Pelodiscus sinensis: one gene and its partners. The protein of the gene in region 2 interacts with the protein of the main gene of each other region in a pairwise test. Links are inferred from orthologs where the notes say so. Each region holds a gene or a part of one and is shown on either strand. Other genes may lie near its edges. The genes, in order: AQP1, TRIM23, LGALS8 and HOXB5.

Region 1 (7,750 bases), on a different chromosome or scaffold from region 2:
GGGGGAGCGCCGGCCCCGGGCGCGTGGCACTTGCGGGTGGGGGCACCGGCCCCGGGCGTGCAGCCCTCGGAGGGGGCACCGGCCTCGGGCGCATGGCTATGGGGGGGGCCGCCCCCGGGCGTGCAAGTACGATAAATCAAATCTGATGTTATTAAATGGTGTTGCCTCGGAAGGGGGGGTAGTCTTATACGGCGAGTATAGGCCAAAACCTATGTTTTAACTGGAAAATTAGGGGGTCGTCTTATACGCCCAGTCATCTTATACGCCGGAAAATACAGTAGTTCCTGATTTTGTGGTCTGTTTAAAAGCTGAGGCCACATGCCCAAGTGGAGGACACACTTTTTCTAAAGGGATGGTTGCTTTCCCAGACAGCCCGTATTTGCTTTATTAGCCCTGTATGATTTTCTTCCCTGCCTTCTTGTCATTTCAGCACCATCTTCTGAATTTCCCCCCGCCTCCCTGACACCTTCTCTTCAAGGTCCATAGACCCCTTGCCTGCACCCAGTGTATATAATCCTTGTAACTTGGAGGTAGTCAAAGAAACAAGAGGGGTTTTGACTAGTGTCACGTACCCACTCTACAGAAGTCCAGATTCAGGGCTCTGAATTTTAGGGTGAACCAATGTGCAAGAGTTTTATGGCTGCCCAGTGTGCAGATGAGGAAATCCAAATGCTAAAACTCTGGGAAACAGACCACCCGCATTTAATGGCAGCTGGCAGCTAGGTGTTTGCAGGAGCCTTCTTTGGTTACTTCATGTCCCATGTGTTTCACTCCTGCATGGTCTAGTTCCCCCTGGCACTGGTTTCACAGGGAATGAGTACATACCATTTTTTAAATCCTGATCCAAAGCCCACTGAAGTCCATGGAAAGACTCTCATTGTTTCCCCTGGGCTTTGAGTCAGACCCATAATTATTATCCAAATTTAGAAGCTGAGTGGATAGATGGATTATCAAATTCCTGTATCCACAGATTCCAGAAAGGTAAACAAGCAACCTATATTGGAATAGAACATGAAGACTGACGACACCCAATTTTAGTCTGGAGTAATGAATTAAATATCAACGTTCACTATATTTTTCATAATATTAATTGTAGTTGCCTATGACTCCACAGTATGTTAAACCACACTACATTGTTTGTTCATTTCATACTCCCTGACTTTTTTGTTTGTTTCTCTTTCTTCTAAAGGAGTTACTTATAGTAAAATCACATTCTGATCAAACTCTTCACTTGCAAATATGCTCCCTCAATTAAACTGGATGCTGAATATTAATGTCACAAACTGCAGCTTAATTTTTTTATATGGGCGGGAACAGCCAGAAGATGTGAAATAAATGCACTTTATACAACCAGATCGAGTAACTAGCCATAAGGGAAATCCCAGCTTTAATATTCTTATAGGTAGCACTAACAAGGTATTTGTGGTTATGTGACTGAAACTGAAAATAGGTTCCTTCTAAGCCAGACAAATGCTTAAAGATATGTGTATCCATTTAGATGCCACTCTGGCCAAATGCCAACCTTTTAAGGAGGAACAGCTGCATTTAAATGATCGGAGCAGCTTTAATGAAATGCCTGTCCACAGTCACACAGCCAAAAAAACATCTGGTTGTAAAAGTGTTGAATCCAGGGTGCCTTCATAGACAGTTGCCTCCCCGCCTCACGAACAGTGCAATTCACAATTCGACATTTCCATATGTCTGTTTATGAATAAACAAAAACACAAGTGGCAGCTATGACTCTATATCAGAGAGCAAATCTGCACCAAGAGCATTTCATTGTAGAGTTTTGACCACAGGGTTTCATTTGCTACCGATCTCTCCTGCCCCTACCCCTTTTCCCTCTTTTTCTCTCTGTGGTTACTTAGATTTGTACCAATGTTCTTACACAGCATCCTAGCTGGCCTTATCTGAACCCCTAATCTGACAGCCTCCCAGAGTAACCTGAACACAATACAAATGTACATCCATCACCAGAACCAGGCACGTAGCCTGAGATTTTCAAAGTCTGCTAAGGAATTCGAACACCCAGTTACCAATCATTCTAAATGAGAATCGGGCATCTAAAAATCATTAGGGCATCTAAAAATCATTAGGTAGCATTGATTATCTCATGCTTGACACAGAAAAGCAAACACAAACATAATGTGATTCCAGTAATCACAAACATACAACCTTGATTCAGGGGAAAGAGGACCATTCTTTGATCTCTGTCTTACAGAAGATGCTAACTAACCGAGTTAGTCTGTACAGGATAAACAGAAAAACAACACATGGTCTGGTAGCACTTTATAGACTAACAAAACATATAGATGGTATCATCAGCTTTTGTGGGCACAGCCCACTTCTTCAGATGACTGGAGTTTATAGAAGATGGTTTAGCTATCCTTAGGATTATAGGAGTAGCTGTGCTACCAAGTGACCGTATAAGCCTTAAACAGTTGATCCTATGGCAACTGAAGTCAAGGCAAAGGTGTCCATTGACTTCAGTGGGTTTTGGATTAAACCTCTTTTAAACACAGTTTTTTGCACTTCTTGAAAGTGAAAGAGAAAAGCTTATCTGCTTACCGCATTGAGTCCAAGGGAGTTGTTTGGAAGAGACGAAGTGACTCCCGAAAGAATCGCCGTGGCCACCACGGCCCCTAGGCACTGTGCAACAATGTACATGAAAGCCTTAAAGAGGCTGATCTGACAGCTCAGCAGAAGACCCAGGGTCACCGCCGGGTTCAGGTGCGCACCGCTGATGTGACCCACACTTTGTGCCATGGTGGCAATAGCGATCCCAAAAGCCAGAGAGACTTTTACATTGTCTTGAGTGGCTGTTGCTGTTTTGTTGCCGACTACAGGAAAATTGAAGCCCAGTGCTGAGCCGATGCTGATAAAAATAAAGAGGCTCATGGCTAAGAACTCAGCCACTACTGCCCTCCAAAACATTTTCTTTTTGAATTCACTAGCCATCTTCTCTCTCTCTCTCACACACCCTCCCTTCCCCTGCTTGATATTTTTCTTTTGAGGTCTGAGGAGAAAGCTGAAGAAAAAACAGAGTGCTTGGATTATTTATAGGGCTTTGGGTGGTCTGTAGGAGGAAAGGGGTGTTACACAAAAGGAGGAAAGAACATCTACATAGATTGATGTAAGGCAGTACATGCGTGCCAAAGTTTTTTCTTCTCTACTTTTTTTTTCCTCTTTTCCCCTCCCCTCAGAAACTCCGATCTCTGCTGCTGTTTTTAAGAGGCTTTTTAAAATCCTTATAAAAGAATGTGTAGGGGGTGCCCCAGAAGTTTTACCATCATTTGGTTACCCTCTATGTGGTCATTGAGCATGCAGATTGGGCTTCAAGGTTTTACAGGATTTCTCTCTCTCTTTGGACTCAACCAAAAGGTATCTGTGCAGGATTGTGTTTTAATTGCTCTCAGTTACAGCAGAGGCAGGCTGCGAAAGTGGATAAATAATAAAACTGACAGCTAAAAGTGCTCTCTAGAGACTGTAAAGATCACACTGTATTTCATTTTAAATCAGGCACTGGTGTCAATCTATAAAGACTCTATAGTTTGTTTCAGATCCCAAGGGGGTTTTATGGTGTCAATCTGGAAGAACTTCACTGAAGTAATTTGGAGGCTTTATACATGTCTAATTATGATCAGAAAGTCTCAGAGGGATAGCTGCGTTAGTCTGTAACTTTAAAAACAACGAGTAGTCCTGTGGCACCCTAAAAACTAACAAAGATATATATAGTATCACGAGCTTTCATGGGCAAAATCCACTTCATCAGGTGAGCTGGAGAGGAATAATAGAAACCCAGATATTACACATTTATGTATATATTTATATATATTATAAATTGTAGAATTTATAATGCATAACTATATGATCAGAAATAATTCTACTGCAGACAGTGGAGCTATTCTGGTTTTTACCGGTGTAATTGAGATTAGAATCTGGCCCCAAATAAAATATGTGTGTGTGTGTGTTGTACTTGTCATTTATGTGCATGTGCCATTCATATATATTTACAAATAGCCTATATACTATGCACCCATTTTATTATGTTCTTGTAACAACTATTAGGGTCTCTCAAGTCTTCCCCTGTTAACACCCCTATTCTCAGTAAATAAGCACAACGCTGGAGTACTTGCCCAAATCCTGCAGTGAAAGTTGTATGCAAACTTTTCTTTAACCTCCGTCTTCCAGAGGGCAGCTGTGCTGGTTGTCACCACGGCGACTGGCTTCTGCTGCTGCAGATAAACAGTACTGGCCAGAGAGGAAGATGAAAACGATGTGCTTTATTTTGCATACAAAATTAATCTTGCAAAGGTGCCAATACATCTTTAAGTGCCAAAGGTCTAAGAGCCTCAGTTGTTGCCGCCTTAAGACCCGTGCAATTTCATTGGCTTACCTCCCCTGTGTTATCAGATCTGTGTGCACTTTAAAGGCTGGCAATTCATTGTTCTCTAAGTCAAAGTATCTTCATTTTTCAAACACTGGCTTCAAAGTTCCTATGTGAGCTGATCCAAATTCAGGGGTGGGGAAACAGTTCTTAGAGCATGAATAAATTTAAAATCAGCCTGATTTTTTCCTTCTTCTTGGAGAAGAAAAAAAAAGTTTACCATTATTATTATGTATTGCTATGAATTTATAATTCTACCTACTTGCCATTTGAGATTTTAAATTCACACAGCATGTACTATGGGTATGAAAAAAGAAAAAAAAATCTGACAGATACACACAGAGCTAATGTTATGTAGTCAAGGAGATTTTTATAAAGATATTCAGTTCTTTTCAATTTAATTTCATGTAAAATCAAAATCCAGGTGCTAACCTGTTTGCAATCTATTGTGCTATGTTCTTATACTTTCTGTTCAGCAGATGTGCTTGGTTTTCTTTAGGACAGGCTTTATACACCTACAAAATATATCTGCACCAGTGAAACAAAACAGCAACAACAAAGAAAAAGGACTGCTACCACAATGGAGGCCAGAACTCCGAGATCTTTAAATGGCCCTCAAAACACTGCATGCCCCAACTCCACCCTTTCTGCCCAAAGCCCTGCCTTTTCCAGGAGCAAAGAGCCAGGCACTCCCCACCTTGCTCAGGGGCAATTCTGTCAGTCCCCTCAGTATAATAATAGTACAGAGGTAGAGTACAAAAACTGGTGGCAATCAGAGAAAGAATGCATGAGATACAGGCAGAAATCTATGTTTGCCAATGATACCTCTGTAATACTATGATATATCATCCTATCTTATCTGCATCAGCTTCCATGTGCATAAAAGTCACAGGCTACATCTAGACGGGCATGATTTTCCGCAAATGCTTTTAACGGAAAATTTTCCATTAAAAGCATTTGAGGAAAAGAGCGTCTAGATTGGCACGGACACTTTTCCACAAAAGCACTTTTTGCGGAAAAGCGTCCGTGCCAATCTAGACGCGCTTTTCCACAAAAAAGCCCCGATCGCCATTTTCGCCATCGGGGCTTTTTTGCGCAAAGCAAATCTGAGCTGTTTACACTGGCCCTTTTGTGCAAAAGCTTTGTGCAAAAGGACTTTTGCCCAAACGGGAGCAGCATAGTATTTCCGCAAGAAGCACTGATTTCAGACAGTAGGAAGTCAGTGTTCTTGTGGAAATTCAAGCGGCCGGTCTAGACACAGCCATACGGTTTAAGGCTAAAAGGGACCAGCACATCAGTCAGACTTCCTCTACACAACAGGCTACTGAATGTCCCTCACCACCCCAGCAGCAAACCCAACCAGCTGAATTAGACTCAAGTATTAGAGCCCTCACAGAACTAAAATAGTGTGTGCCACAAGCAGAGATCTTCAGGTGCTCTGGTGTACCAGGGCCCCAGCCCTCTGCAATGGCAGGGAATTGATTTGCTGAGATATCTTCAGATCACCCTAGCAAGCAACCCTATGTCTCATGCCAAATGATTAATGCAGTATGCTGTTAGAGCTCACTGGGGTACGTCCACACAGCAGGGCTAAAGCCAAAATAAGCTACACAACTTGAGCTACGTCAATTGCATAGCTTGAGTCAGAGTAGCTTAACTCGGCTTTTGGCACGTCTACACGGCAGGAAGTTGGAGGAAGAGTGCTTTTCCTTTGACTTCCCTTACTCCTCATGAAATGAGGGTTACCAAGAGTCAGAGTAAGAAGTCGTCCAGCTTGTTATTATTTTGAAATAATGGCTTGCAGTGTAGATATGCTCTTTGTTATTTCACTCAAGCCCAGGGTTGTGAGTTCAATCCTTGAGGGAGCTATTTAGGGATCTGGGGCAAATCTGTAAGGGATGGTACTTGATCCTACCTGAGGGCAGGGATCTGGACTAGATGATCTTTCAAGGTCCCTTCCAGTTCTATGAGATAGGTATATCTCCGTATATTTTTTAAATTTTAAAGAATAACGTTAGTTATTCCAAAATAACGCTGCTGTGCAGACATAGCCCAGGTCACCTTCAGAGTGCACCAGCAGGGTCCACAGGCCGATCAGTGTGCAACATGTCAGTATGCTTTAGAAATCACAGCCCACAGTCAGCATTAATGCATCAAGTGGACAAACCCTCATAAAATACTTTAGTTCATTAGCTTTATGCAAGGAGTTTATTCTACCCTTCCTGATATGCCTAATTGCTCAGATTTCCCTGCCATTTGAATGAGAGACACAATACTGGGTTCTCCTTTGAAATGTGTTTTCTGCTGTCAACAGAGCAAACATCGTATCTCCGGGAGTTTTCCACTGATGTGAAGGGAGTTTAAAAGTCAAAGGAGAAGAGATGTGCGCTATCCTGGGAGTCTAAGTATGTCTACACTACAGAGTTAATTCAAAATAACAGACGTTATTTCGAATTAACTGTAATAGCTGTCTACACATACAAACTGCTGTTTCGAAATAAATTCGAAAGAGCGTAGCCCTTATTTCGAATTAGGTAAACCTCATTCTACGAGGAATAACACCTAATTCGAAATAGCTAATTCGAAATAAGTGCTGTGTAGACACTTATTTCGAATTAGGGGGCCTCCAGCCCTTCCCAGTTCCCCCTGGTGCCACTCTGGGCCAAACCAGGAAAACTTGTCTGCTCCCGCCCTAGCCCCAGAGCCCTTAAAGGAGCAGACTCTGGCCACAGTGCCTGTGCCAGTTGCCAGCCTGACAGCACACAGCCAGCAGACCGTGCACCTGGCACAGCATGAGCCAGCCACCCGCTGACACCCAGCCCTACACCGCTCCCCAGGACCAGGCTGGCGGCTTCCAAGAGCCTGTCAGGGGCCGCAAAAGGCGGGTGCCTTTCTGGTCAAGTGCGGAGATCGTGGGCCTCATTGAGATTTGGGGGGAGGCCTCCAATGTCCATGATCTCAACATTAGGTACAGGAATGTGGCCGTCCACAGCTGCATGGCTGCCAGCTTGGCCACCAGAGGCCACATACGCAGCCAGGAGCAGGTGCACAGCAAAATCAAGGAGCTGCGGCAGGCCTATTCCAGGGCCTCCCAACCAGGGGCTGACCCGGAGGCCTGCCCCTACTATGAGGCCCTGGACCGCATCCTGGGGGGTCAGACAGTCCGTGCCCCCCTGGTCATCATAGACCCTGGGGCAGAGGGCCCTGCCCCTGACACAGGGGAAGAGGAGGAGGAGGACAACGGCAGCCAGGAGCCCGCAGGGAGCCTGCCCTGCACCCAGGAACCCCGGGCCATCCCAGAGAGCCCGTCAGCAGCCTCATCCGAGGCCGGGGAGGACTCCACATGTGAGTGACATCACGGTC
Region 2 (7,637 bases):
CAATTCCCCCCAGCACCGGCTCATGCTACCCCACTTGCTGCCTCTCTCTGATAGAAGCAGCAAGTGGGGGGAAGCGACTAATTGCTTACATCCCTATTTAGAATAGTGATAGAGATGTAGCCGTGTTAGTCTGTTGTAGCTGAAACAAAATATAGGACTATGTAGCACTTTAAAGACTAACAAGATGGTTTATTAGATGATGAGCTTTCATGGGCCAGACCCTATGTAACTTTGTTCTCACCCACAATTATTTCCAGTTTGAGAACAACTTATACCTCCAGATCAGCGGCACAGCAATGGATACACGCATGGCCCCACAGTATGCTAATATCTTTATGGCTGACCTAGAACAACGTTTCCTCAACTCCCGTCCCCTTTTACTCCTTCTCTACTTACGCTATATCGATGACATCTTTATGATCTGGACGCATGGCAAGAAACACTGGAGACGTTCCACAGAGATTTCAACAATCTACACCCCACCATCAACCTCAGCCTGGACCATTCTACACGAGAGATCCATTTCCCGGATACCACAGTACAAATTAACAATGGAAAATTAGAGACCACCCTCTACAGAAAACTCATCGACTCATACAGTTACCTACATGCTTCCAGTTCCCATCCAGCACACACCATACAATCCATCATCTATAGCCAAGCCCTTCGATACAACCGTTCTTCGATACAACTGTTCTAATCCCACTGACGAGACCAGAAACTTCAGGATCTCTATCAAGCATTTATAAACCTCAACTACCCACCCGGAGAAATAAAAAAGCAAATTGAAAGAGCCAGACGAATACCTAGAAACCATCTACTTCAAGACAGACCCAAGAAAACCAACAATAGAACATCACTTGTCATCACCTACAGCCCCCAACTTAAATCTGTCCAACACATTATCAATAAACTACAGCCCATACTGGAACAGGACACTAAACTTCAAGAGACTCTGGGAGACAGACCCATAGTCTCCTATAGACAACCACCTAACCTCAGGATGATTCTTACCAACAACCACAGGACATACCACACTAATACCAATCCTGGTACCTTCCCTTGCAACAAACCTCGGTGCCAGCTTTGTCCACATATTCTCTCTGCTGATACCATCATTGGACCTAACCAAGTGAGTTATAAGATCAAGAACACATATTCCTGCACATCCAGAAATATATTTTATGCTATCATGTGCCGAAAGTGTCCGTCTGCTTTGTACGTTGGACAAACGTCTCAGACACTTCACCAAAGGATCAATGCCCACAAAACAGATATTAGACAGGATCACAAAGAAAAAACAGTTTCTTGCCATTTCAACCAGAAAGGACACTGTCTCAACGACTTAATCACTTGCATCCTGCTTCAAAAGCCTTTTAAATCTGCACTTGAAAGGGAATCCTCTGAACTGTCATTCATGCTAAAATTAGACACTCTACGCTTGAGTCTCAACAAAGACTCTGGCTATCTCACCCATTACGAAGATAGCTTCCCCAATTATCACCTCTAATACCATTAACTCACAGACATCTACCTCCGCCCCCCCACCCCCCGCCCGCATCCTCCCTCTGTTCTGAAATTTGATTTGTTCTTGTCATATGTGTTCATCATTTTTTTAATTGTATCCTTTGGTATATATGGTTGTGACAATTTTCTTCCACTATTTGATCTGAGGAAGTGGGTCTGGCCCACGAAAGCTCATCATCTAATAAACCATCTTGTTAGTCTTTAAAGTGCTACATAGTCCTGTATTTTATCCCTATTTAGGGCCCTACCAAATTCACAGCTAGGACTGCAGAGATAATGCATGAAAGAAGGCCGAGGGTGCACACGATCCCCCTAATACTATGGGCATGATGAGCAAAGGGCTAGAGATTCTGGACAACCCAAGAAACTAGCTAGGGAGCATGGTGCTCACAGCAGGGGTTTGGCCCCTGCACTCAACTGCAGTGGCTGGGTGAGAGAGGGTGGAAGGGTGCAGAGCAACATTGCTCCTCCATCCCAGCTACCAACCATTTGGGGCTTGGGCAGGACCACCCTCCTCTGCACTCAATGGTGGGAAGTAGAGCAACAGCAGCCAGCAATTAGGGGAGTGCTTTGTTCCACTTCTCTTCACTGTTGTGGGTGAGTGCAGGGAGGTTGTGAACCCTGCTACCCGCATCAAACTTCTGCTAGTCCTGCAGGCTGCATAACTCCTAGGTAAGGTCTTGGGGAAAGAGATGGGACAGGGGTGGAGCCGCGATAGGAAGAGGTGGGTCCTGAGGCAGAGAGGCATTGTGTAAGCCGTCCTCCAGCCAGGGGTGGGGTGGGGAGAATCACGTGGCCAATGGTGCCTCCCTCCCCTGACTTTCCTCACCAGACTCTCTAGCGGACTGTGAAATATGGTCTTGTAAATGAAATCTGGCTATCAGAAGACAATAGCAGCATTGGCACCCTTATTTCTGCATTACCTGAAGAGCTGGGTGGCCGCTCCTGGTCAAGGCTACGCACAGCAGCGCAAAAGGGTAACATGCTATGTTATTGTCACCCTTACTCTACCCCTACTTCAACTGTCAACACTGCCTTCAGAGCTGGGTTCTTGGTGTCCAGCAGCCACCACTCTCTAGACACCGAGCTGTGGAGGCAGTGCAGAAATAGAGGTGGCAATACCACAACCCTTCTAAAACAGCTTTGTCCCGCGCTTTTGGGTCAGGATCCCCATAGTTACACCACCATGAAATTTCAGATTTAAAGATCTGAAGCTGTGACACCCTAGATTTTAAACGGACCGTGCAGTCGGTAGGGCCAACCCCCGCCCCCACGCTAGGAGCCCACTCGTCTCCCAGCGGGCTGCCGCCTGCACTCGCGGGAGCCGACGGGACCCAGGAGCCGCAGCAAATCATTCGTCCTCCCTCTGGCGGGCTTCTCCATGCCCGCGCGGAAGCCACGGGAAGAGGCGGCGGCGGCTGCACAGGGGCTGTTTGACGCAGTTGGGAAAAGGCTGCGAGCCCCGCGCGGGTCACCACCCAGCCCCCTTCCCGGGGCAGGGGCGCAGCATCACTACGCTCCGACAAGCGCTGTGGCACGAACCGGGCGGGCAGCCCCCGCGCGGACGCGGTGCCTCTTACCTTGACAGCAGCCCCAGCCGGCCCCCGGCTACCGCTGTGCCGGGGGCCGGTATCCAGCGCCGCTCCGGGCCCGGCCTTGTTTACACTCATAGCCGCCATGTTGGGAAAGGGAGGCGGAACGAGCCACCTCCGCATCAACAAGCCAATAAGCCAGCAGAGACAGGAGGACGGGCCACGCGCTGACGCCACCGGCCTTGCGCTGTGACGTCACTACGCGAAGCATCCGCGCAGAAATGAAAAATAATCCTGCCGGGGTTTTCTCCGGAGGCCGCCGACAACGTCACTGCGCATGCGTCTCATTCATTCCCCGTGAGACGTAGGAAGACTACAGTTCCCATCATACAATGGCTCTCAACTCGTGAAAACTACAGGTTCGGAGATAATACGCCGACATCCGCTCAGTCACCTTGAGAAGACTTAAACTCCCAGCATGCAACGCGATTAGTCCAGGTTCCCTAGAAGACTACTCCTCCTATCACCGCTCGGCGTGCGCAAGTCCCTCGTGCTCCTCTGTGCGTGCCAAGGCTCAAAGGGAGCAGTGCATGCTGGGGGGTGTAGTGCTTTCTCGCTCCTGCTGGGGCCCAAATGGCGCGTTGCATGCCGGGAAACTCACCTCCGGGTTTTCCCGGACTCGCTCGGTTGGGCTCAAGTTGCGGAGCCGCGTCGTGTTCCTTTCGCCATTGGCAGGCGCTTGGCCGGGGTGTGGGCGGCGAAGGCTCCGCGTGGGGTGCCCGAGACCATGGATGTGAATCAGCCGAAGCAGGAGCATCTGCTGGCTCTGAAAGGTACCGAGACGGCAGCTCGACGCCCCTCCCCCAAACCTTTGCGTCCGCGGCGGCCCGTTCCCCGGCTGGGCCGGCAGGTGAAGCGCGTCCCTGGAAGGCCTCAGCCCCAGGCCCTCCGCCGGGGGTGGGGCAGAAAGCGAGGCGCAGGCACCGGCTGTCGGTTGGGGCCACCGGGTGGAGCAGGGAAGCGGGCCGGGGGTATGTCGCGGGTTCCTGGGGGTGGGCCCCTGCCTCCCCCTTAGCCCTGACAGTGGCTGTATTGCTCAGGCGGCGCTGCCCTGCCCTGCGGGGTGGCATGAGAAGCGGGCCGGTGCGACTAGCGCCTTTGGAGGAAGAGTGAAGACCTGCGTGTACTAAAGAGCAACCGCACAGGTGTTGTCCTGGGGGCTGCCTGCTTACCGCTGCACTTGCTGGAGGTGTCACAGAAATGTGCAGTAGCAGACGGGGAAGAACTGCATCATAGGCTAGTTTTCAGTAGGACTTGGGCAGAGATTAACACTTATGTAATCAGACGATGTGGGTTGTGTGTAGGGTGACCATATCTCCCTATGCTGAATATAGGACAGAAAAAATTACTCACTTTCAAGTGAGTGGCCATCTGTCTTATTTTTTAAAGTTTGAGAGCTCACAGGGAGAAAACATGCATACGCATGCATGCACACTACACAGTGGGTAGTAGCATATCCTTGCAGAACTCCTCTCTTTTCCCCCACCATCCACTATTTTGTCCCTGCCTCCCTGCCCACTGTCAAAAAGCAGCTAACACCTTAAGGTTGCTGCTGGCTACTAACATAATCCAGCCTCCTCCTGGATACAGCACAGGCAAGAAGAGGTTAAATCTTAAGCATGTATTGTGCTCCAGGGCCCAGAAAACCTGACTGGACGGACTTCAGGGAACTCAGTTAGAGAGATGACTCAACAAATGAGTGTCTCCAGACAGAACCATCCCATACAGAGCCAAATCCCCACCCACCCCCAAGCTTCTGTGCAGCTTCTGTGCAGCCTAATACAGAGAGCCTAATACACTTTTGCCTGGACTAGGGATGTTAAATTGCAGGTAGTCAGCTAGTCGAGTAGTCAATGAAATTTCCATCGACTACTCGATTCGTTGATAAGAGGGAAACTGGCTGGGAGCTAACCCTGCTGCATCTCTGCCTTCTAAATGTATTAAAAGTTGCCAGGCTCTAAATACCTCTAGAAGGCAGAGGCATAATGGGAGAAAAAGGCGTGAGCCGGGACAGCTGATTCCTGGCCCTTTTAAGCTGTCTTCCCCCAGCACTGGCTCCTGCTTCCCCCAACTTCTGCTTCTCTCTCATGGTGGCAGCAAGTCGGGGACAGAGGGAAGTGACTAATGGAGTCAGTACTTGACTACCCAATAAACATATGCTTATTGGGCAGTAGATGAGTTGCTTATATCCCTAACCTGGACTACCCCACTGAGCCTGTTACTTCTCTAAGCCCCAGACATATGCACCTGGGCCCCCATCCAAACAAGCTTCACACACACACACACACACACACACAATAGAACCCATTTTGAGAACCATTCACATACATCCAGACCTCTCATGCAGAGTACCAACCACTGTTCCTGCATCCAGAACTCCCATACTTCAAGCCCCCACTAGTCCACCTGCATCCACATTGCCCCGTACAGAACTCACTGCACACTTGGATCCCCTCCACCCACACACTAAACCCCTTTACATTTGGATCTTGCCAATCTGGACCTGCCTCCACATACCTGATGCGCTTGGTGTAGAGGGACAGGATCCTGGGATATATTAGGAGCAGGCTTGGCTCTTCCCTTGTTTTAGGCTTCGGTGCAGCTAGTCCATAAGGGTGAGCATAGGGCTGTACGATGATCATCCACCTCCATGCAGCCAGTGACCTGTGTTTTCCACTGCCGTGATGGAACCTCCATATTTATTCATTAACAAACAGCATTTGCAGAAGGTATGGGAGTTTGGTGCATAATTTTTCACTCAGGAATAAGTACTTCAAACTCTTTGAAGGAAAAATATACAAGTGAAGAATGTTGTTTTATTAATAGGAGATTGGTCAAGCCTATAAACACCTCAGTCGGATTGAAAGAAACACAAAGCTATGGGCGGTGGGAAAGCTATGCAGTGCTTTGCAGGTGAAGAGGCGTGAGGGTGAGAGAAGATCTAGTTGGGAAAAGGATGACTACTGTAGTGATACTGTTCTGCATGGATTGGAGAGGGAAAGGCTAGAAAGCTTGTGGAAGTCACAGAGCACGTAAACAACTTTGACTTAGGGTGATGAAAACTCTGTGTTCTGCAATAACCTCAGTTTGCAGAAGAGTTTCAGCATGTGCAGCAGAATATTTACATGTTCGTAAGACGATAGCATTTGATATCCATATGTATTTTTGTCTTCTAACTCTTCTTTGCTCCACAGACAACTACATACTTAATTATTTCTTCGTCTCCACAGTCCATAACTGATTTAATGAGTTTTCTATTCTATGTACTTCAAGTCAAACATGCAAGGGAGATGAACTCCATAGTGCCGTGATGACAATTTTTGTCAGTAGTGAATTGGAACCTGTAGCAATGAGAGCAGAGCACTAAATAATCTGTCTTCCTTTTTGTCTCTGAATAAAGGTGATATTGCTTTTGGCATTGTCATTTATCATTGTACCTGCACATTCATGTTAAGTAGCACTAATGAGTAATTTAAGATGAAGTCCACAATCCTGTAACAGTTGAATTCAGTGGGACTACTCAAGTACATAAGCAGGGCCCTACCCATGAAATGCATGTCAAGAATCGTGAAACTCTTTCCTATGAAATGTGACTTTTTTGAGGTCAGCCATGTTGCAGAGGGACAAGACTTAGCTGTCCCCTGCATGACAGAGGGAGATCAGATTTATTTCCACAGGCAGCACAAAAATGAAGATGGGCTCTTGGCTTCCACCCTTTTTGCCTCTTGCTGGAGCTCAGGGCAGATGGCCTGGGGAACAGTGCTCGGGGAAGCTGGGTTGGCTGCTGCTGCCGCCACCGCCACCCACAACTCCTGGCACAGCTTTGGGCTGCTGTTATCCCCTCTCTGCTTCAGCTCTTCCTTAGTCTGGGGGCCACCCAGGCTCTAGCTATAGCTCCTGCTCAGACTCAGGAGACCTGTCTAGTAGGCTGCCACCCTCTGCAGCTCTTGCCCAGCTCAGGCCTTCCCCAGCCTCCCTGTGGCCTCTTTCTGGGATCTTTGTGCTTGACCTCTGGGGCTTCTGCTTCCTTTCCCTCCTTCCGCCCTCCCCCACCCCGAGCTGGGGCTTAGGAGTCTTTGTTGGAGCATGCCACCCCATGCAACTCTAGACTCCACAGCTCCTGCCAGGCTTAGTGCTGCCCCCTCTCTTTTGGCTCCTGCCCAGGTCCTAGGCTGTGGGCTGCCCCCTGCTGCTCCAGCTGGGACTTTGAGCTTTTACCCCCTATAGCTCTTGTCTAAGCTCAAGGACTTGGGTGGGGGCTGCCACCCTCTTCAACTCCAGCCCTCACAGCTCCTGACAGACTCAGGGCTATGCCTCTTGCCCTGTGGTCCTGTCTGGCTCTCCTCTTCCTCCCCCAGCTCCTGCAAGGACTTGGAGCTTTCATGCCCCATAGCTCCTGCCTGAGCTCCTGGCTTCTGACACCCCCCCCCCATAGCTACAGATGGGGTTTGGGGTACCCAGACTCAGTGATGCTGCCTCCCCACATGGCTCCTGCCTGGGATCTGGGCCAAACAAGTT
Region 3 (8,248 bases), on a different chromosome or scaffold from region 2:
TTAAAGAGATGTAGTCAGGGCTATTTAAACACAAAGCACAGATATTATTTTTAAAAAACAAGTTTTACATAATAATGATAGTAAGAGAAATGTCCACCTTTAAAAATAAAGCAGTGCAGTAAAATTAATTTGCTTGGCTCTAAACGTTCCCATGCAATGTCTGTTCCCTGAATTTTCCAAAATTGTGTTAGTACATCAGAAGTAGAAAGTGAATACAGAGTGTATAAAGTGAATGACTCATTTGAGAAAAACCTAAAAAGTAAACAAAAGAAGACCTTCATGAAAAATAAATTAATTTTAAAGGTTTAAATTTTAATGATCAGAGGAGTTTAATAACATAAGACATTTTTAAAATACAATTTTAACCTTGCCATTTTAGTTTTCTTGCTTTGTTTCTTCTGTATGGTCCCCCTCACTGGATTCAATCCTTTTTCTCTGCCTCCACACACACCTGGATTTTAAACATTTCAACTTTTTTTCCAGAAAGGATACTGTCAATCTGTTTTAATCATATTTAATTTATATTTAACTTACCTTTGTAACTAATAACCTCTTCCAAGCTTCAAACTGAAATCTGACTGTAAAGCATATGCATCTATATCCATTTCTGACGGCTTTAATTCAGCTGGTTACTCTGCTTTGCACAGGAAAAATGGTTCCTCCACTTCTACTTCCTAATTCCCATGGACCAACACAATGACATCACCACATGCATGTGGCTCAGAAAGCCTGACTTCTTTCTACCGACATTTCTTAAAGGACCAGTGTAAGTTTCTCAGCTCCCATGCTGACAATGTGGGTTTATTTTTTATTGTGCCTCTGTTTCTGCTAGAGGTAGGTTACTGTTTAAAACTGCCTTTTGAAACCAATTGCATTATTCATTTCATACTTTAATTTCTTTGTATGCACTTTAAAATAGTAGTATGAATTTAATCCTGGGGAAAATTGCTGCCTAGGAGAATGACATTCTTTCTTTAGCTGCTTACTAGCTCTCCTTCTAGCATCCTGCTTGGTATAGAGTTGGGAACTTAAATCAGCCCCATGTCTGTCTTCTGCTACCTTGCTTCCAAAAAATGATCAGGAGGACACAGATTTTGCAGGACACTAGTATCTACAGCAGGGGTCAGCAACCTATGGCTCACGGTTCAGCACCAAACATGGCCTAGTGGAGCTGTGTGGTGGGCAGCAGCCCTGTATGTCAGAGCTGGAGTCGGGCCACGGTGCAGTTGTCTGTACTGGGACAGCTGCACCACGTTCCTGGTTCCAGCTCCAGCGGCTGCCATGCGGTCTAGCGGAGCTGCATGGTGGGTAACTGCCCCGTGTTCCAGAGCTGGAGCTGAGCTGTGGTGTGTCCGCTCCTGGGACCAGGGCCATAGTGCAGCTCCAGGAGCAGCTGCACTTTGGCTCCAGCTCCAGCCTCAGCACATGGGGCAGCCACCAACCTCACCTCTCTGATGCCATCTGGCTGCAGCGTCCTGGCCCTTGCCCTGATCCTGGGGCAAGCCCCATAGTCCAGCCCCCATCTGGCCTCAGGAAGGGCTGGGGGTAGCCTCCACTCCTGCTGCAGCATGGGTAGGAGGGGCGGCCATGATCCTGCTGCGATAATCCTGGCCCAGCCCCTCGTCCAGCCACTGCTGCCCAGGTACAGTAGCCCAACCCCAACCAGACAAGGTAATCCATCCCAAGGGCCCCTCCACATACTCTGTTTCCCACCCCCAACACCTGGCTTGCGTCCTGCATCCCATCCCTGACTCTTGCACCCCCACATCCACAGACCCCTACCATAACACTCCTGCACCCCCCATACACCCCAACCCTGTGCCTTGAGCCCATCATGCAGCCAAACCCCCCTGAATCATGTCAAAGGTACTTTGCGCTCAGGATTGACAGAGGACAGCCTGAATGCATGCATGAGGCTGAATTTGAACAGTTATGATGTAAACTTCAAAGAAATGTGCGAAAAGATGCAGCAGCAGAAGTCCCATTAAATAAAGTCTGTGAGTACAATGTTTCATGTATACTATTATTAATCATCACCAGGGCTTGCCAAACCACGGCGAGCCCCGCTCGCCAGCCACACTGTCCAGCAATCTGCGCATGCGTAGATAGTTCTGCGCATACGTAGATCGCCCAAACCCAGCTCTTCTGGATTACAATCTACTCGCCCGTCGAGCCCTGATCATCACATCAATTATCAATAATATGAAGTTGCATATTTTCAGCCAGGTAAATGAGCATTCTTTGTTGACCACTTGTTCTGAATTTTTTGATGTAGTTTGGCTCTGTGGTTTGAAAAGGTTGCCAACCCCTGATCTCCAGTCTTGTCTTACCAGCTCACCACTGAACTTTTTACAAGTAGCAAGCATTTGGCATCTCTCCCATGCCATCTCCTCAGGCAGCCAGGTAACCCCCCTCTTCATCTGGAGACTGAGACTTAGCTTCAGCAGGACAGGTAAAAAGGCCCCAAAATTGGCCCTAGACTCCCCACCCCTCCCAGGTTTCACTCTATCACAAATCCTAACCCAGTAACCCAGGTACCCAATCCCCTCGCAAAGCGAACTCAACAATATATAAAACATGTTTAGTCTTTAAGGTGCTACTTGTCTATTTGTTGTTTTTTAAGTTTTTCTGTTACGGACTAACTCGGCTACCCCTCTGAAGCTTTTCAGTGATATATGACAGTTTCTTTCCTGTGTGGGGGTCCCTTGTCACAGCTTATGGAGTGCTGTTTGGTGTTTAGTTGCCTCTCCAGAACTCCTTTTTTAAGGTACACGGAGACAAGTGAAAGCTCCAAGCCTGAGCGAGAAAAACCTCACCCAACCAGAAAGCCTGGTCAGAGCCCAGCAGCTCCTGGCACAAGGTGGGATTTCCATCATTTCCCACTGGCATATCAGCTGCAGGAAGCCAGACAGACACAGGCTGCAAAAATATCTGCTACACGTAGTATGTAATGCAGCAGCAGGATAACATATGGGTCCTTGTCCTTCTCCAGATTTCTGTTCCCTGACAGTTCTCTGAATCTGCTGTTAACCTACCTTCATTTGCAGCCTGGGATTGGGGTTGGAAACTGGTGAGCTTTTCCTGTTTCCACTCTATTGCCATGGCCACCAGGGAGCTGTCTGCACTGCAGCTGGGAGGCGTAATTGCCAGTTTAGATTGCTATGGATGTGCTAGCTCTGCTCAAGCTAGTGCAATAAATTAGCAGTGTGGCCTGAGTAGCATGGGCAGGCTTGTACTGGTGACCCTGTGCAAATATTAAGGTGGCTACATATTACCCCCTATCCCACACAGCACTGCTCTCCTGCCAGCTGCACAACTGTCATCTCCAACTGTTATGGAACCTTCTGGCTCTAGCATTCCGTTACTGTTGGAGTGAAATGCATCAAAACGGCCTTTCCTCCTCAGCACTGAAACGTGGTGTTTACACAGGTGCAAACTCTGGCCCCCTTGCTGCTTAATGCAAATTGTATTAATTTTAACAAAAAAATTTTTAAGGTAGATTAGGGAATTGCTGAGAGCCTCATAAATCTGTGTCCATCACAACTCCCTCAGTTTGGGTTGCCAGGTGTCTGGCTTTCCCCTGGCACACCCAGCTGGAAAGGGACAGTGGCAGCTCCAATTAAAAGTCCAGTTGGCACAAAGATGACAGGCTCCCTTCCTGGCTCCTCACAGCTCCCAGAAGCAGTGACCTGACCTGTGGCTCCTAGGGGGAGGGATGGTCACAGAAGCTATGGGGCAGGCAATATGCAGATTCAGGGTTTGAGATGCAGTGTGGCTGCCTGGCCACACTTCTGCCAAGGAACTGAGGTACATGTCACTGCTTCCGAGGAGCCCCCCATGGTAAGCACCACCCAGAACCCACATCTCAAAATCCCTCCCTGTGCCCCAACCCTCTGCCCCAGCCAGGACACCCCCATCACACCCAAACCCCCTCCCACACTCTGAACCCCTCAGACCCAGCCCAGAACCTCCTCCTACACCACAAATCGCTCTTCTCCAGACCCACCCCAAAGCTCCAGCCATCACCCTCATCCCAACCCTCTGCCCCTGTCCGACGAAAATGAGGGTGGGGGAGAGCAAGAACAGAGACAGGGCTGGCCCTACCTTGAGGTGAACTGAGGCAATCGCCTCAGGTGCCAGACTTGGGGGGAGGGGTGCTACTGGGACCCAGAGTGTAGAAAATTGTGTCTGCTGCTGGTGCATATGTAGGTAGCAGAGCAGTACCATGAGAGGAGTACAACAAGTAGAAGGCAGAATTGAGACCTTTCAAAGTTTTGGCCCAAGCAAGGAGGCATGGGGCGTCATTTCAGCTCCCCGCCTCAGGTGCCAAAATGTTGTGGGCCGGCCCTGGACAGAGGGAGGGCAGAAAAAGTGAGCATGTAGCCTCAAAGAATAGAAAAGGCAGGGAGTGGGGTAAGGGTCTTTGGCTTTTAGAAAGTTGACAGTCCAACCCGCACAAACATTCTCTTTGAGCAGGAGCGGCCCGAGGCCAGCTGCAGCAGCTGGCGCCCTAGGCGGAGCGGCGCAATCGCCGCCTCTGCCTGCACGGTCGTCAATGGCTGTGACGTCATCACAGGGTGCATGGGGCAGCGGCACCCTAGGCAACTGCCTAGCTCGCCTAGGCTCACAGGCCGCCCCGTCTTTGAGGCAAAAACTCCTGCCCGCTTTGTATGTTCTTGCAGCCCAGTTAGTGGGAGGCTGAGGTGTAACAGAGAAGAATATAATGAACTTTTAATATAGCTGTTAAGTTCCTGATTACATGGACCTTGCTCTGCCCTAAATTTGTATATTCCATGCCAACATATCTGATAGGGGATGGAAGTATTTTGTGAGCAAAAGTGCCCACAAACAGCATTCACACATGCTGATGGCAACGTGGGGTCTGAAAGAGAAGCAGCATGGGCAGCGGGTATGCTAGGTGGGGCAAGGCATTGCCTTTCCCAACTGCCAGCCTGGGTCCACCCATACTTTGCCTCCAGAACACCTACTGTAGGTGTACTGGGGGGGAGGGGGAAGAGTGTTGCTGCCCCCAAGTGCCTGCCCTCCCTGTGCTCAAGACCTGGGGAGACTTGGGCTGCATGCCCTCTGCCCTCCTCATGTTCTGGGACCAGGGAGGCTCAGGCCACACGCCCTTTGCCCTCCCCCTGCTCTGGGGCTGGAGAGGCTTGGGCCGCATGCCATTCCACTTCCCCGTGATGGGGGATGGGGCCTCGGAAGAATGGGCAGAGCTGGAGGTGCACCTGTTCTGAGGATAATTAGGACATCAGTCTCCACTGCTGTCCAGCTATTAAAATGAAACCTTGTTGCAATTGTTAATTTTTAAAATGGAATGTTCAGAGTAGTTGTTTTTGGTTAATTGGTTTATTTACTTATTTTGGATTGTTCCAAAGTTTGACAAAATATAAGTTTCAAAGAAAAAGCAACCCTCCCTCCCCCCCTGGCTGTTGCTGACTGTGAATGAAATGCACCCACAGGGTTTGAGATGCAGTGTGCTCCAACCCTGTATCCCTGCCCTGGATGCACCCCAGGAGGCAAGGATAAGAGGTTGTAGGAAGGTGTGGGGACATTTTGGGGATGAGTCCCATTCACTGCACTTACACCGCATGCTAACTAGGCACCCCAGCACACGCAACTTCTGGAAGATCAGGGACGGAGGAGCTGGGAGCAAGGGCAGGACCAAGCAGCTGCTCTCCTCAGCACAGCTGGGGGAGGGATGATCCCCACCATCCTGGCAGCCAAGAGCTGCCTCCCACCTTTCAATTTTGCACCCTGCTCCAGGCAAGCTCTGTTCAGCAGCAAGGAGCCAACTGCAGGAAGCTGAGGGCAGATTTTGGGGCAGGCTCCCATTTGCTTCCTGGGCACACCTACCCACGCAACCCCTGGGAGCACAGCAGGGGCCAGAATGTAAAGTGGAGATCTGGCAACTGCACTGAAGGGAGCAACTGAGGCATGCACAGTGGATGAATATAGGGCTGGAGGAGGTAAGACCCCACCCTACTCCTTCTGCCTGTAGCCCCACCCCTGCTGCTCAGGTCCTTGTGGGAGCTAAGCTGCCCCGCACCGTAGGAGCAGGCCACCGTCGTCTCCAATGGGAAGTGCGCATCTCCAGCCCTCCCCAGCCCTGGGAACACATAGGTGTACAGCAAACCAGGGTTTAACACTGTTCTGACTTGTTCCCATTGGCACTGCCAATAGACTACATCAAGGATTGTTGGCATAGAGAAGACTAAGAAATTTGCTCCAAAGAGTCTGGGATAGCAGAAGTCCTCTGTATGTGTCTAAGTCAAGCGAGGGCTGCATACATGCAGAAAAGCCACTGGGCTTGGACCTCCAGCTCTGCAGGATCCAGGAATTCTAGGTTTGAGCCCTAGAGTCAGAGGTGCTGCAACACTTTGTATAGTGGGTGTGCTGAGAGCAGTTGAACCAAACTTGAAATCCTGTCAATATTGGAAACCACTTCAAGCCAGGGGTGCAGAAGCACCCCTGGTTCTAGCACCTATACCTAGATTAATAAAGCTAGTGTGTGGATGCAAGGGAGGGGTGGGCTTGAGTGCAGGCTCAAACATGTGCTGGCTGAACTTACCCTAAGAGTCTTGAAAGCTTTAATTGGATATAATAATGGATCATCAATAATGGATAATAATGGATCATCAATATTGTTATATTAGGAATCGATTAAATAAGTTGATAGCCTATCCCATTTACACACTTTTCTTGGCTGAGAGTTTTTAGTGGCCTCTTGTGATTCTTCTTTGGTAAGTTAATGTTTTAGCCCTGACTAATGTTCTAGATTTGCCTTGTAGATTAGTGATTTTTGAAAAATATCAGTCCTATGAGTCAGACCCTGCACCAACTAGTACAGGTACTTAAAAAAAATGCCCCTGTTACTTCACCAGTTCCAGCAGGCACCATGACATTCATAGCCTCCTCCCATCTGAGAAGGCTGTTCACTGGTATTCCTTTAAACCAGGGGTTGGGAACCTCAGGCCCAGGGGCTTGATGCAACCCTTGGCTTGCCTGGATTCGGCCCCCAAGGCTCAGCTCCTCCCCCAGCATTGGGAAGCCCATGCTGGTGCTCCAGTTCCCCCACCATCCCACAAAATCTACTAGGATGGACACCCCTAAGCTCTAGTGTGTGAAGGAAATGTTCAGAGTGTCTTTTTCCTTCTCAGGCCAGGGGCCACATCAGTGAGGGGTTTTTTGTTTTTGTTTGTATGTTTGCTTCTCATTTGTGTGCAGCCTCCAACTGATTTTTTTTTCTGTGGGTCAGTGGCCCCCAACCCAAAAAAGGTTCCCCGCCCCTGCTTTAAGCATACCATTGCTGTGTTGTGTCAGGTAGTACTAGTTAATTTATCCAATACACATGGTGTACGTAATGCCAGTGTTAGTTCAAGTGAAAGGATACTGAAAGCTGTTTCACTGTCTTACTTTTTAAAATCAATAGGCAACATTGTAATTTATTTTTAAAATCAGACGTACCTGGAGGAGTTCTGATTACAAACCAATGGTATAATAGCTTTTTAATTTTTATTATGGTATTCTGTCTTAATACAAAGAATTAATGGTAAAAATTGTATCTTATTTATCTGCATTACAGTAATACCTAGAGGTCCTGAACAAGATCAGGGCTCCCTTTTGCTAGATGCTATCCAAACACTTAGCAAGAGATAGTCCCTGCTCCCAAAGAGCTTACAATCTAAACAGATATGAGAGACGGGAAATAGTAATAGCCCCATTTTGCCCAGGGGAAACTGAGATACAGTGAGATTGAGTAACTCGTTCAAGGTCATAGAGGAAGTTTGTGGCTCAGCAGAGATTTGAACAAAAGTCTTGAGTCTGAGTGCCATACCATACCTACAGGACCATCCTGTCTTTTGAGTTTTTAAATGTTGCATATCTTCTTGTTGAGAGATTGCTGAAAAATATTTAGCTATTTTTCATTTCAAGAAGTGATCACATTTTTGACTACTGAAGACTAAAAGATTGCAATACCATATTGTACCACGAGGTGGTACGGGTTGTCTGATAATTACTGTCGCCAGATAATATCTGAAAACCCTCTGGGTGTGAAGTATTTCCCAATTTACACAAAAAAGCCGTTTGGAATTAAGAAAATATGTCAGTTTGGGTAAATCATTCTTGTCAATGAGTGAGCCAAACATAAGGTGGCTTGCAAATGTTTTGTGACATGACACAACATTAAGAGCCTGGTAGGAGTTGGATGTGTTCTCCACATCCTCACCCATGC
Region 4 (8,210 bases), on a different chromosome or scaffold from region 2:
GCATGGGCGATTTCTATTCTCCTCCTCCGGGTGAGGTATCTATTGAAGTGGAATTCCTTTTCCAATTCTAGGGTCTGGTAGCGAGTATACGCGGTTCTTGCTCTTTTACCGTCTGGTCCAGTCATGTCTGAATGATACGGACAACATTGGGTTTGGGTTTGGTTTTTTTTTGTTAGATCAAAAGGCAAATTATTCCCCTCCCAGGACAATCATGAATGTGCACTTGGTTATTTCAAAATAGCCTCCCCTCCCCCACGTGTAGACACCCTCCCCCCAATCTCCCAGTTCCGGCATATACAATTCAATATTCACGATTTAACTGCACCCTAAAACTCTTATCATTTTACCTACTGTGTGTGCGTGTGTTTGGATCTGCAAAATATTGACTTCCCCTGCCCCCCCCCCCCCTTTGCAAACCGCTGTTCCTGGTGCAGTGTGCTCGTGGGTTTTATTTTGTAATTAGCAGATTGTCAAGAATACACACACCCAAAATAATAAAGGACCGGGAGCCCCATCTGTCCAGATAAAGCCCGTTTTAGTTCTCCCCTCTCCTTTTCTCTCCCCTCCGCCCCCCACCTTTCCTCCCCCATCCGCAAATCTCCCCGCAGTTTTGAATGACCTTTTCTCTCTATACATATATGTATATATATTAAATAACCTCACATTTCGCGGCAGGGTTACAAAGACGTGGCACGGAAGGCAGTTTTCGGCTTAAAAGCACCGATCAGATAAATAAATACGAGGAGAGAAAGAGCTGGATTTCTTAATCAGGCGCCTCCTCCGCTCTTCAAATAAAACCGGGGAAAGAAGGAAGAAAGGGGAAGGGGGAAAAAAAGCAGAAGGGGGAAAAGGGAGGGGAGGAATAAAAAGTAGCTGTACCATGGCTAATGTGAAGCTTCCTCATCCAAGGGAATATTTGTGGTGTCTGCCCTTCTGTTGGTCCTGTGGATGTAGCCACGGGCTCTGTCTGCGCCCTGGAAATATTGTTGCTGTTTATTTGGGTGCCCTCTTCGGTCCCCGAAGACGCGCTGGTCTCGTCTATTTCTGTGAAATTTGTGTTGGTGCCGGCAGAAGGAGCCGGGTCGGAGGGGGACGGGGCGGGTTTGCCTCCATGGCTGTCGCTGTTGGAGCAGGGAAGGGACTCGGGAGAGGACAAGGAGCAGCTAGACGCCTGTCTAAACCTGCTCTCCTGCGCTGGCGGTGAAGAGAAGCTGCGGGAGCTGTCTCCCACCGCCCCAAAGTGGCTAGAGGAGGCCGAGCGGTTGATGCTAAGGTCCATCCCATTGTAGTTGTAGGCATAGGAGCTGGAATGCATGGTGCCTGAATCTCTGTACGACCCGTTCATAGCACTGCTAGTCCCATAATTTAGCAACTGATACTCGGGGCCATTTGGATAGCGCCCTGAGAACGAGTTTACAAAGTAAGAGCTCATTTGGGTTATTTTGGAGGGCTTGATTTGTGGCTCGTGGTCGTTATAACCCGGTGCTTGACGATTTATGATGTATTAATGAATTATAGCAATGCACTGTACTTCGTTTTTGCTATGTATGCGGCCAAATATGGGGGGGGTGGGGGTGCGTTTGGAAATCACGTGCTTTTGTTGACCAGTCGTAAATTCTCACTGATGACCTCAAGAGGTAATTCATGCTCTATGGTTACAAATAATGACGATCTGAGAATCGTTAAGGCCCAAGTCAATGCAAGCCTGGAAAAAAAAAATTCAGAAGACAGAGATTTTTTTCCACGTTGGCGGAATGCGCCACCTACTGGGCGCAGGGTGACTCAGCAGGCGTGCAGGGTGACTACCCACCTTTTAATGTATTTTTAAAGTAATTTCGCAGCAATTTGCACTCTTCGTGTTTTTATTCTTTTGTTAAAAAGCACACACACAGAAATGCCCCCTCATCCATGTTCATCCCGAGCATCTGCTGTCATGGTTTTTTAATTTTTTTATTTAATTTTGCAAGTGGAGGGAAAAAATGTTGATCAGATCCAACTCGGGGATTATTGTCAACAATCAGTTTTACTCCTGTGATCTTTGTATGGGGGTGGTGACCGTTTTTAAATGATCCGTCTTTTATAATAATGACATTTGTGGTGGGGAGTGGGCGGACAAGTCACCTTTGGAACTGGCGCTTCTCTGTTTGAATACCTTGGGAAAATAACGGAGCCTGCTGAAAGAAGAAGAAAAAAGCATGTGCGCTTTATTTATTTAATTTATTTATTTTAATTGGCACAATGAAAGTTTGGCTTTCTCCACCTTCTCATCATATTATCAAGTGCACAGTAACACCTTGTAATTCTGGAGGGAAGCGACAGGAAGAGAGATCAGCCGTTGAAACTCGGTGACAATGTTGCTTTTAAGATATTCTTGGACTTAGCCTCCCTCTCGCACACCCCCCTTTCAATACAACATAATTCTATTTCCCCTCATCGCAAACCTGCAAGAAATATTAGGTAGCAAGGAAAACCTGAAACTTGACCGGGCGGTGCTTTTTGTTCAACGCTGCTGGGGTTTTTTTTCCAGGCAGTTTAGGAATTTCAAATGCTTGTCTGCAACTCATTGGAAATTATGCGCCATATTGAAAGTGACATATAATTATAATAATTACGGGCAATGAAAAGAGTGGCAATAATAGTAAATGTCCTACAGCTGTGCCGCTTCTGCATGAATTGATTTTAAAAGTGACTGGCATTAAAACAGCTTGTGACATGAGGGAATGCATTAATACATAGGTATTTTTTGGGGGGGGGAGGAATAGTTCTTTTGAAAAAGCATTTTTTTCTCTCGCGTGAAGCCTCCTCCATGTGACTAGAATTGAGTTGAGCAATGGCTTTGTTTTAAATCTGCTCACCCCAAGGAGAAACACCATTTCTTTTCGTTCATTGTGCATTTTGAAAAAGCCAAGAAAAGTTTACTCCATGGCCTCTCCAAGACCTCTTCGGTCTTGAGCGCAGAGAGCAGCTTTTCTCAAACTCCAAGGCACAATGACATTGCCAGGAGAGCCAGCTGAAAGAGGTGTGTGTACGTCCATTTAGAAAACACCCTCACTGATTTTATTTTTTTTATGCTTAAATAATGCTCACCGTCTTGGAGTGGAAAAAAAGTTTCAACTAAAAAATAAATAGGAAAAGCCTGGAACCTCGCTTTGTTTACACTGCCCATCTCTCTGATTTTGGAAAGTGAAATAAGGGGCCAGATGTTTGAAAGATGCTCGACAAACATTATGTATCTTCGGTCGAGAGGTGGGAGCAGAATTTTGCCTCTTCCTTTGATTTATTATGTATATGGAACGCTTTCCCTCATAACTCTAGTTACTGTAACAATAAAAAAGCCATCTTAAAGCACAGTGTCAGCTCGGAGATATGGTTGGTGAAAGGTCCCGCATTTCAGATTAGGCAAAAAGAGGGAAAAGCAGATTTATCTCTCAACTGTAACGTCCGTATGCCGCCAGTTGCTTGTCCTAGCTGATTAGAAGTGTCACACGCGGGTAACACCAGAGCCTGCCTCGCTAGCAACCATTCAGCTGCACAGGAATGGCACATTTTCATAGCTAGGGCTAATAATACTGTTAATGACACCAACGGGCTGAGCAGGGGTGCGAATACTTTGCTTTTATTAGAGTACTCCAGGTCCATACCTAAGACAAACTACAAACACGACACGTACAAAAATTAATAAAATAGAATATTTCTTGTTGTTGCTTTTGCATCTTTGTAGGTAGTACTTGTTCCTTCAGTAGGTTTTCCTCTTAAAAATGAAACTAATTACGAAGACCCCAGGGTTTGATTAATTTACCAAAAGGAAAAAGCAACCAGGGGTGGGGGAATCTATAAGTCAATCGTGCATGAAACATTTTACAAAATTAAGACAATAAACACCAAAAATGACACATATTGCAGCACCTCCATTAAATACAAGAGTTAGCAGGTTACTAACAGTGACACCAAGGGGAGAAACACAGGTAAGAGTTCCAAATTATTATTATTTTATATTATATTATATTTGGAGGAATAGAACGAAAAAAAACCCTCAACTAGAAGCCTGGTTTTATTTTTATGACACGACAGATTAACTGATCACGAGTCCATCGGTGCAAAGTGATGTCGGTGGCAGGCCACCTTCAAACTGTCTCGGGTATTTTACAAAGCGTGCACCACGTCGGGGTGCGTTTTTAATGCCACTCCAACCCGTTCCCCCCCACCTTCTCCCTCCTCTAAGTGTGGGTACATTCGCTCTTTCTCTTAAATATTTTTTTTCACTCCGCGGCTTTCTCTTCCTCCTCCTCCGCGCTCAGCTGCGTGGAGTTGAGCAGTTTGTTTTCCTTTTTCCATTTCATCCTCCGGTTTTGGAACCAGATTTTGATCTGTCGTTCTGTGAGGCAAAGTGCGTGTGCTATTTCGATTCGCCGACGCCTGGTCAAGTAGCGATTAAAGTGGAATTCTTTCTCCAGCTCCAGCGTTTGGTAGCGGGTGTAGGTTTGCCGGCCTCTTCTGCCACTTGGCCCGAAAGATGAACCTGTTAGGCAAGGAAGGGGGGAAGGAGAGGATACCCAAAGGTTTATTCGAGTTCAGATCATAATGCCATTTGGGCCGGACACTTAGAACTCTGCAGAGTTTCTGTTTAGGGGCGATGGAGTCTGTCGTTCTGCCTTTGCTTTCCGCTTTACCTCCTTGCACCAACCCAAAGTCATCTAGGCAAAGTGCCCCGGGCTCCTTCTTTTGCAAAGCCAGCCCCGTAGCAAACCCCCTGAGTTCGCCTTGCAATGGGCATTGCTCCCTTTGCTGTCTGCTGCTTCTCCTGCATAGCTCGAAGGCATGAAAAGTTCTGCCAGTACCAGCCATTTGAGTGCCGGGCTTGGAAGACCCTGCTCGGTCTGTCTTATTCCATTATGTAAAATCTCAAGGTGTCTCTCCCCTCTACCCCCACACACCTTTGTGTTTTTCCTCCCTACCGGCAGCAGTAATAGATCTGGGCATTTAAGCAATAATGAAGTATATCGATCTAGACAAACTCTGTGCATTAAAGGGGATCCAAGACTCGATGTCCTCACACTAATGGACATCAATTTGGAACTTAAAAGGCAACAAATAATGAATGTAAACATGGGAGGACTGTTACTTTATTTTTGGATTGAAGAGATAGCACTTAAACCAGCTATACATCACGGGGGGGGGGGGGGGGAGGGAGCATTCTCCCATGGCAGACTTTTCATTACGCGTTGAGTTTCATTAAAACTGTAGTTCTCTCTTTTCAAATATTTAAGCCCTTTTACATTATTTAATTCCAGCGAGGGGAGGGTGTGTGTGTGTGTGCGCGCGCGTGAGTGAGTGTGTTGGTGTGTGTGTGTGTGTGTAGCCATACTGTTGTCATTGCGAATAGAAATCTCTCTTGTATGTGCAGAAGACACCGAGTTAGATAAATCATTGGAAAGAAGTGACATACGGATTACAGCGTGCAAAAGAGAAAGAAGATACGGGCTTGTCTAAGTATGGCACAAACTTTTTTGTGTGTGTCTTTAAAAAAAAAAAGAGGATCTGGTGAAAGAACCGGGCGAGAGAGCAAGACTGCCATAAAGTTTTGGGTTGTGTCAAGCATAACTTCGAGTCCCGTCCATTGCTGGAAGTTGGATCTGCGCTAAATTTCCTGTTTTCCTTTTGCAAATAAGAAGAGGCGGGAGGGGGCAAGGCGGCGGGGGTGGGGGGGCGGAATAAATATATATATATATATATATATAAAAGGAACTCACTGTTGCAAGAATTCATCCTCTGCATCCAGGGGTAGACTGGGGTAGAACACTTCTGCTCCTCACTTTCCCCGAAAACAGTTTTGCTCTGGGCGCAGTCTGACTTCCGCTGGTCTGAGGCAAACGGGACATGGTCCTCCAGATTGGGGTTGGCACAAGCAGGGTCTTTCTCCCTGTAAAACCCTGCTACCCCATAGTCACAGGCGGAGGTCCGGCTGTACGCCCCGTTCGCTTGCTGGTAGTAAGAGGAGGAAGGGTAACCCTTTTCCTGCACTCCGCTGGTTCCATAAGTAGCGGGGTAGTGTCTTAAAGGATCCGCATATCCCGAGGCATATAACGGGATTTGTCCCAGGAAAGGCTCCTGCCCGGCGGCCAGGCTCACCGGGAAAGTGGAGTTGACAAAATAAGAACTCATTGGGAGGAGGCAGCGGTCCTTCCCCGGCCTTATGATTTGTTGTGTTTTATAGTCCAAGTGGTTTAGCTATTAGTAGTATATCGGAGATTGGGTTTTAGCTGAAGGGGATGGCTGGGAGCCAGCGAGGGACACAAGGAAGTAGAACCATCTGATCATGGACTGACCAATCGCGAGCGCCTGAGATTGCAAAATAGCACCCATGAGGGGTTTGCAGTGCACGGGGGACCCCCAGAACAAACCACCCGACCCCTCTTTTTTCCTCCCTTTTCAACTACCACACGCACCCCCTTCACCAGATACGTTATGATCCGCGAGAGAGAAATCCCCAGACATTGGGAGTCTCTAAAACAATCATTAAAAACACACACACATACACCAAACACATACAACAGAGAGAGAGAGAGAGAGAGAGAGAGAGAGAGAGAGAGAGAGAAAGTTGAATCCTTTTATTCTGCAAAGTTTAATCCCTGGTTGCCTGTTATTGCTTGCAGACTATGTGGGTAATAGTGCTATGATTTTTCTTTTTCTTTTTCTTTCTTTTTTTATTTATTTATTTTTTTGCATCGAAAGCAACTTTTACTTTATTTTTTATCGGGATGGGGGTGGGGCTAAATAGACCGTATCTGTTCAATTAGCTCGGATATAGGAAAGGAAAGGTGGGTGCTGGAAGACGGGAGAAGAGAAGTCAAGATTGGTAACTTATTTCTCAGGTTTATCCAATGGATAGATTGACAGAGAAAACGCTTCCTTTTAAAGGGTCACACGCTGCCTCATCGCATTCTAGGTACTTATTTTGTGGAAGAGTTGCACAGCCAGGAGATGAATGGGAATCGAAGTGTTACCTTTATTCCGGGCTAAACACTCATCTAGAACTAGACATATGTCCCAAATTGTGCCCTCTTGCGTTTTATTGTTCATACCAAATCTATGTTCCGACCCTACACAGGCAGCGTTCGCTTACGGCCAAGAACTGTCTGTATCGATTGCCACTGATCAAGATTTTTTTTTAAATACAGTTGTTTGGCGTGTCTAACGGGGAACGATCACTCTGGCTCTCATATTGTAACCCCCTTTCCATGTGGGTCTGGTTCCCACTACCAGGGACTTATTTGGGAAAAAAAAAGTTGACACCTCTCAAGGAATAAACTCGAAATTCCGTGGGGTTTTTTTCCTCCAAACTAGGGCGAAAGACCGAATGAAATGAGTTTGGGCTGAGAGGGGTGGCTCATATTTCTGCTTGTATTCATTAGCGGTAGGTGTGGTTGGCAGTGGCGAGTCGCTTCTTCAGATTGCTCTAGCAGAAGACATGGTGAGATTTAAATATTTGGCCAGGCATGTTAGAGTCGTGTTTTTTTCAGAAATGTCCTCAGCAATAAAACTGAAAATGGAGTGGTTTCAGGGGCATTTCCAAATTCATACCTATCTGTCTGTCTGTCCTATGCAATGAAATATACAAAACACCACGTACACACCTAGATGTGTGTGCTTCGGCCCTAGGATTGCACATCATTTACATGGTCACTACAAAACTGCCAATTTCTGCCAATTTATGAAACTGTTCTCTTATTAGGAGCGAATTTATTTTAAACACTGTGTTTACAGCTCCAAAGCCAGAGGATTTTATGCCATCCCTGCCGTGGGCACTGGTCGGAGCGTTCTCTTTATAATTCAAGGAAATAACATGCAAAGGAAATAGTTTCTCTCCCCTCCTTTCTGACTGATGTCTATTATATTTGTTCTTGCAGAGTTTTCCTTTGTGTATGGAGTGGACCCAAACCTACGCAGATTTGGTTTATGGGCATGGGAACACGAGATTAAAAGAGAAACTTGACAGTCCGTTGGAAAAAAACAACAACAACCGTGTATTGAACACAATGAAGTGAATCGCTTTGCAGAAGGCAAACGCTCAGACATTTGATTAGAAAGTTTACGCAAAATGTGTCTAAGAGCAAAACCGCGAACAGCTGGGATGAATTGCACAGCCATGCAGAATATGGGGCTATGAAGTTTGAATCCCTGATAATTACATGAGTGAGTAAAAATTGCTG

Evidence for each region.
Region 1: the proteins of TRIM23 (region 2) and AQP1 interact in binary tests that used the Homo sapiens proteins (3 or more experiments, as listed by UniProt). The two-hybrid records come from large-scale screens. The link is inferred for Pelodiscus sinensis from reciprocal best matches to the Homo sapiens genes TRIM23 and AQP1.
Region 3: the proteins of TRIM23 (region 2) and LGALS8 interact in binary tests that used the Homo sapiens proteins (3 or more experiments, as listed by UniProt). The link is inferred for Pelodiscus sinensis from reciprocal best matches to the Homo sapiens genes TRIM23 and LGALS8.
Region 4: the proteins of TRIM23 (region 2) and HOXB5 interact in binary tests that used the Homo sapiens proteins (3 or more experiments, as listed by UniProt). The two-hybrid records come from large-scale screens. The link is inferred for Pelodiscus sinensis from reciprocal best matches to the Homo sapiens genes TRIM23 and HOXB5.

Annotation. Positions count from the first base shown.
Region 1 is NC_134712.1:249,461,751-249,469,500, reverse strand, and holds the start of AQP1 (aquaporin-1), read right to left. Parts: upstream 3,177-7,750; 5' UTR 2,959-3,176; coding exon 2,569-2,958; intron 1-2,568. UniProt on the Homo sapiens protein: Forms a water channel that facilitates the transport of water across cell membranes, playing a crucial role in water homeostasis in various tissues.
Region 2 is NC_134716.1:90,184,286-90,191,922, reverse strand, and holds the start of TRIM23 (E3 ubiquitin-protein ligase TRIM23), read right to left. Parts: upstream 3,392-7,637; 5' UTR 3,243-3,391; coding exon 3,108-3,242; intron 3,017-3,107; exon of another isoform or gene 2,883-3,016; coding exon of another isoform or gene 2,769-2,882; intron 1-2,768. Other genes in the region: TRAPPC13 (trafficking protein particle complex subunit 13), read left to right, coding at 3,847-3,892.
Region 3 is NC_134713.1:127,305,945-127,314,192, reverse strand, and holds the start of LGALS8 (galectin-8), read right to left. Parts: upstream 3,309-8,248; 5' UTR 3,036-3,308; intron 694-3,035; exon of another isoform or gene 535-693; intron 1-534.
Region 4 is NC_134739.1:14,168,276-14,176,485, forward strand, and holds the start of HOXB5 (homeobox protein Hox-B5), read right to left. Parts: upstream 3,450-8,210; 5' UTR 1,433-3,449; coding exon 880-1,432; intron 128-879; coding exon 1-127. Other genes in the region: HOXB6 (homeobox protein Hox-B6), read right to left, coding at 4,260-4,519, 5,751-6,162. UniProt on the Homo sapiens protein: Sequence-specific transcription factor which is part of a developmental regulatory system that provides cells with specific positional identities on the anterior-posterior axis.